Linked DNA regions of Yarrowia lipolytica. The protein of the gene in region 2 interacts with the protein of the main gene of each other region in a pairwise test. Links are inferred from orthologs where the notes say so. Each region holds a gene or a part of one and is shown on either strand. Other genes may lie near its edges.

The links.
Region 1: the proteins of YALI1_E02648g (region 2) and YALI1_E32396g interact in binary tests that used the Saccharomyces cerevisiae proteins (3 or more experiments, as listed by UniProt). The link is inferred for Yarrowia lipolytica from reciprocal best matches to the Saccharomyces cerevisiae genes DSK2 and PTH2.

Annotation. Positions count from the first base shown.
Region 1 is NC_090774.1:3,238,122-3,241,301, forward strand, and holds YALI1_E32396g (uncharacterized protein), read right to left. Parts: upstream 1,473-3,180; coding exon 810-1,472; downstream 1-809. Other genes in the region: YALI1_E32361g (uncharacterized protein), read left to right, coding at 1-695; YALI1_E32411g (uncharacterized protein), read left to right, coding at 2,979-3,180. UniProt on the Saccharomyces cerevisiae protein: The natural substrate for this enzyme may be peptidyl-tRNAs which drop off the ribosome during protein synthesis.
Region 2 is NC_090774.1:263,194-266,619, reverse strand, and holds YALI1_E02648g (uncharacterized protein), read right to left. Parts: upstream 1,776-3,426; coding exon 1,750-1,775; intron 1,693-1,749; coding exon 687-1,692; downstream 1-686. Other genes in the region: YALI1_E02678g (uncharacterized protein), read left to right, coding at 1-365; YALI1_E02626g (uncharacterized protein), read right to left, coding at 2,339-3,426. UniProt on the Saccharomyces cerevisiae protein: Involved, with RAD23 in spindle pole body duplication. Involved in the ubiquitin-proteasome proteolytic pathway.

The DNA.
Region 1 (3,180 bases), about 3.0 Mb from region 2:
AGATCCAGTCTCTCTATTTCGAAAAGGAACATTTTTCGGACACACCCGGTCCCCATGAGTCCCTCGGACTGGATTCTGTTATACAGATTGCTTCTCCCATCGACTCCCTGGAGGACATTGTGAATCAGCATCAGCTGTATTGCAAATACGCCAACCTGTGCGCATCGAGAAGACATGGAGAAGACGTGGTGAACTTAGCAACTCTTCGAGGAACACCCAAAGTAGACTGGCTTGCGCCTGCTGGAAAGGAGGAATACACACCTCTTTCAGACAGATGGCATGATATCCAGGACGATGTGTGTGACGTTCTGGAGGAGGAGACCCCTCGAATGATTCTGGAGCTGCCTCAACCTCTCTCTGCTGGACAGCTTCGAAGTGTCTACTTACAGTACCTGCGACCTCGACAACGGTTGACTGACCGGGCAGCTCAACTGGTTGAACGATACTGGAAGATTCTGTGGATCGAAACGCAGAATAACTTTGCATACAAGTGTGTTGTGACTCGACCTGCTCTTACCTATAAGCGAGATCCTATCACCAAGCTGTCTACACGAGCGCGGGCTTATTGCATTGATTTGGACATGGAGGTTGAGGTTGAGGTTGGAGATCTTCAGCTTGAGCGAGGAGATCGGCTTGTCAGCATGGGAGTTGTGCGCGCTAATAAATACACTGGAGAGCTGGTCCTGTGTGTTTAGGTGTAGAGGAGTTTGGTAAAGGATGATAAGGGAGCATTTGTATATAGTAAATCATGCATTAATCTATGAGTTTCGTTGTTCAGTTGCTGTCTATATGCCCAGCACTTCAGTCGCTTACAGCAACTTTAGATGACCAGTGACTCGGTCAATCTCAGACTTGGGAGCAGGGCCGACACCTAGAACAGTGGCACTTCCTGCAGCAATCTGGGTTCGGCCAGCGTCTCGGATCACACAGGCGATGATACCTCGCTCGAGAGCTTGTCGCTTGAGCTCGAACAGCTCGGCCTCAGACTTGACCTGGAGGGCCACCTTGGCCTGGCCCCATCGGACCCATGATCGGGTGGTTTTAGGCTTGAGATCGGAGGACTGTCTGTAGCATGCCAGAGCTGCATGTGCACACTGGGCTGCGATCTTGCCCTTAGTCATCTTGAGATCAGTTCTCACCACCAGCACCATTTTCAATTCTCCACGGGCTTTGTCCTCGTGAGCCTGCAGCTGCTTGATGTCTTCCTCTGTGAACTCATCCTCGGACGAGTCGGCCTCGGAAGAGGATATCGAAGATGAAGATAGTCTTCGTGCAGCTAGCTTTCGGGGAGCAGGAGTGGTGGCTCGAGGAATGACGTATCGTCCAAGAATGACACCTGCGCCGACCAGACCGGATGCCACGAGGTAGTTGATTGTTTGTGTAGACAGGGTCGCGGGAAGAGTCAACATTGTAATGGTGTGTTGAAGTTGATTGAAATTTCGATGCAACGAAGTTTGATTTGGGTCATGCATGACATAAAGTGACGGAAGATGAGTGCACGCACTGCACTCTGTACCGATACAAGCGTCGGTACACTACTTGTACTTGTAGCTGCGATAAACAAGTTCAACGATGACAACTTACTTGCATTGTATAATGGAAGGAAAAATTATGTGCCATTTTGATATACAACCGAACTGTGTACTCGTACTGTATCTGAATATCAACATCACCTCGTTTGCTCTATGGTTAGCACCGTTAGAGTTCGGGACATCTCCAGCACAAGGCACAGTTACATGTATGTACAGTACTCTTCCTGTTAACAACCACCCAGCACTGATGTACTCCAATGACCAGGATTGGATGTGTTGGGTCTGACATGGCTCGTTGAACTTAAGCGATGCACTCTCGTATACGGTTTGCGCTCATACTGTAGACAGCTTTTTATGTTGCCTATTATGAGCAATGGAGATACACTACAGTAAAGAGATCCCTGATTGGATACTACTGATAGCAAGCCATGTGTAAACCCATCAAGAGCCTCATTCATATGTTTGTCCACGTGCCAAAACAGATCTCCAAGGAAACACTCACTAACAAATCTTTCTGCTAGTCAGATGAGATTCTCTCAGGGCCTTTCTTGGGTTGGTTAGTGCACTAGCGCATGGGCAGGATACAAACGAGTTGGAAAAACGCCACGCGCCATGGGTGAACGGAAACCTGTTCGCATCCATCTCGACTGCAGACCCCTTGGGCATGTTTCCCCGATGAGCACACCTCGTCAAGCTGCCGTCATTTGTTACAGCTCCCGTATGCATTGGGCTGGAAGTTATGCTGTGGGAACTTCTGCCACTGATGACATTGTTCAGGATGGCCTTCGTGGATCTTAAAGCATTAACTTCAAACATGCCGGCTCTAGCGAAAGGGACAAACCATCGATGTTTGTACTCGAACATCAGATCCAGAGCATGACAGACTGCCTGCTGTCTACTCTACTTGGACCATGGCGACCCATGATTCTTCTGCCAAGGGCCAGATGCGTGGGTTCATCACCGACAAATTCACAATGGTCGAGCCGTCGTTGCCTCAAGATGTGGGCTATCTCCCAAAGGCAGTTCTACCCAACTACAAGTCTCCCTCGATGATGCCAATGTTCGCGTTCGCAGATTATCGCCGATGTTGCCAACCAAGAGAAGCCGCACTCGGACCAATCTTGATTCCATGTACTTCTCCAGAAAGGGTCTAGACAGATTTACTCAGATTCTGGTGGTTCTGAACGATGTCGTTGGTGATAAGGCATGTGCTCGCGACCTTCTTGGTCGATTGAAGAACGCATTTACTGTGTTCGTCAATCACAGACAGCAGAATCCACTTGCTTACAACACCCTCTGGAAGGGCATTGTCTCTACTGCGGGCCTTGGTACGGACTCCCCCGCTGATTTCGGTAACTTACTACAATGACCTTCATATCCACTATGGTTATTTTGTTCATGCCGCTGCTATATCGCCAAAGTTGATAGAGAGCTGGGAGACGGGAAATGGCTCACTCAGAGAGACAGTGGGTCGATAATCTGGTGATAGACTACGCTAACCCCAGTCCTCAGGGTAAGAGCTTTCCTATTCATCGATCTTTCTACTGGTGGTCTGGTCACTCGTGGGCTAAGGGCCTGCATCTTAGTGCTGATGGTAAGGATGAAGAGTCTTCTTCTAAAGACTACCACTCAGTGTATGCCATCAAGC
Region 2 (3,426 bases):
ACGACCCTCATTGGCTCATTACCGTCATGTACCCTCTAGTGTACTTCCTCATTCTGTCGTCGGTTGTTGTCCATGGTATTACAATCCCTGTGAGTATGCTGGGAAAACAGCTCCCCACCACTCTGTCTCGAACAATGACCATGACTCGAAGCTTCTCCAGAAGCCGATCTGCAAGCCGAGATCGAACCCCCCGAGACCCCGAGGGCCATGTCAAGATCGATGCCATCTCCAACCCCACAGACCTTCGACAAAACATCCATGTCGTTGATGAGAGTGGCACCACAGATGATAGCCAGGACACTTACACTCGACCTGCTCCCGAGATTGGATTTGTTATCCCTGACCGAAGAGGAGATCAAGTTTGATCTGGGCAAGGTCATTGTATCATTAATTATAGACCTATAGATATTAGTGCATTGTTTTATTTAACATCAATTATTTCGTATACAGTATCTACAGTATGATCATTTTTGTACCTGTATGTGCCAGTACATGCAGCACCGGAACAGTAGTTTGAATCATTTAATATAATTAATACAGTTGCAACTTTCTGACTCTGATACTGCTGATGCAGGAGTTGGTACACGTAGCTAAATGAATATATATATGCGTACATTGGTTTGTCATTGAGCGGAAACGTCCGTTTGTCCCACCCCGGTAGCCCACTCTTCTAATCATCTCTTGACTTAAACACCACCGTCAAGAAGAGCCTCGATGGCTCCCTGCACGTTGCCTCCACTTCGTCGCAGAGCACGAACGTTTCGGTCAAACTCGTAAAAGCCAAGCTCGTTGAGCTGTCTCAGCTGAGACTCGTAACGCTCCTCCGGGGGTCGAGTGTCTTCGGGCTCAGCAGCAGGAGCAGAGAAAGCGTTACCACCGCCCAATCCACCAAATCCGCCACCACCCATCATTTGCATGAAGTTGGCCATGTTGTTGGCGTTGGCTCCCCCAGCAGCACCACCGGCACCGGCACCAGCTCCAGCACCAGCGCCATCAGTTCCGGCACCGGCACCGGGGGCAGCGCCAGGAGCGGGAAAAGCAGAGCCCTGAGCCTCGGGATTCATGGCTCTCTGGATCTGCATCATTCCCTGCATAACCTCGGGGTTAGTCATCATCTGTCGCATGTGGTCGCTTTGCAGCATCTGTCGAGCCTGGGGGCCCATGGCGGCCAGCTGGGGGTTAGAGTTGATCATCATGTCAAGCATCTGGGGGTTGTTGAGCATCGCCTCCACGGACTCTCTGTAGCCGGGTTGTCGCATCATGTTAATGAAGTCCTCTTCGGAGGGAGGCTGTCCAAACTGATCTCCAAACATCTGAGGGTTGATACCATGGCCAGCAAACTGAGCTCCAGTGAGCGCAGCCAGAGGGTTTCCTGCACCTGCACCGCTGGCGATGTTGTTGGGAATTCCGGTGGAAGCAGGATTGGAGGAAGCTGTGTTGGTTATGGCGGAGGTGGCGCTAGCGGCGGAAGCTGCGGAGGAGCCCTGGGGGGCAGCACCCTTGACAAGATGGACGGAGTGGCCCTCCTTGATGTTATAAGATCCGACGGTCTCTCCATCCTTGAGCACTCGGCCGGAGTAGATGAGTCGCTGTCTCTCGGCAGGGATATCCAGCTCCTTTGCCATCTGCTCCTTGACCTTGGAGACGAGGGTATCATTGTTGACAGACACCGGGACCTTTTTGTCAGAAGACCTGGGTTAGTAATTGCGCTTTGAAGATGCAGACATTGCTTCTTTTCGTTTCACTTACTTGATGATGATTTCAAAGTCGCTCATTGTGTGATTGTGGGGTAATGTTGTGTGGTTGTGCGAAGGAACCTCGATCTCTTAAACACTGAGATAGAAGGAGCTTCCAGTACTTTCTATGTCATTAGGTTTTCGACCTAACCCCGATAGGCGGTGGCGATCTACATTTGAGGGTACGGGCCACGTAACTATTCGTACAAGTAGTCGGCAGCCCCATAAACGCAAAGCTATATGTTTCTATGTACTTTTATGATCGCCTTTGTGACCCCTATCAAGTTTGCCTGTGGTTTTATTCCTGTGTACACTTGATGACTAAAAGTTGGAATTGAACCACATGATTGTGTGTCCCTATTTTGTTGGGAACATCAACTGTCCTTGTTGATGCAGATTATTCTAGATGAACATCCCTAATCAAGTACTCGTACGTACTGTACCTACAAGTACGCACAAGTACCGATACCAGTTTGATACCAACTTCCACAGTACATCCGCAAAAGGGTCATGTATATATTATGATACGAGTCGTTAAGTATATATACCACGTGGATAATATTAGACCTAAACTGACACTAAGGGCTACTACTGTAGCTAAACTACTCGGCCTTGATCGCTTTGCCTGGAGTAACCTTCTGAGATTTGTTTTCAACATAAATGTCGTCGTAATGGGGGAATCGAGCTCTCCACCAGAATCTCAGCTGGGTCCAAGGATAGGAAACGGCATTGTGAGTGGCTTCTCCAACAGACATGTACCACGACACGCACCCACCCGTGGCAAAGTTGGTCTGTTTGATAGCAGCCTGGATTCGCTGCACCCACTGGTCGTATGCCTGGGGCTTCACTGTCACGTAGTCACTTCGTCCCTGGATGACATCGGAAGCAACCGACTCCACAAACTTGAGACCGTTCTCAATACCGAAGATAACTGAGTTATGTCCAGTCGTGGCATTGGGACCGAACAGCATGAACATGTTGGGGTAGTTAGGCACCATGACCGTCTCGTACGCAGCGACCTTGCCATCCCAGAATTCAGATAAAGGCATTCCGTTCTCTCCAATCACATCCACAGAGGTCATTGATCGTCCAATGTTGAACCCCGTAGCGTCCACAATCAGATCAGCCGGATACTGGTTGCCATTGATGTCCTTGACTGAGTTCTTTCCAACTTCAACCAGCTTGTCAAAGGTCAGAAGCACACTCTCCATTTTCAAGGCTGCCCAGTAGCCGCAATCGAAGATGATTCGTTTACATCCGAGCTGATACTTGGGGATGGCTGTTTCGTGGTACTTTTCAGGCATGTTCTTCTTGGCAATTTTCACAGCCACCTTGGTTCGCATAGACCGATCGAAGTCGGACCACCAGCCTCCTCGGAACATATTCCAATTCATTTCCAGTAAGCAAAATACGAAGAATCGCAGGACAGGGATCAAGAACGGGAACCAACTGAGAATGGTCCGCAAAATAGGCCCAATAGTGACTGGAGTCCGTGGAACAATCCACTGTGGAGAACGGGCGAACTGAGTGACTGACTTCGCTGTTTTGGCCACCTCACTGGTGACCTGAGCAGCAGAACATCCGTTTCCAATAACAACAACGTCCTTGTTGTCGTAATCAAACGGCTTCCACTCGGCTGTATGCATAATGGGACCCTGAAAGTCTTCCATGCCCTTGATCTTGACATGGT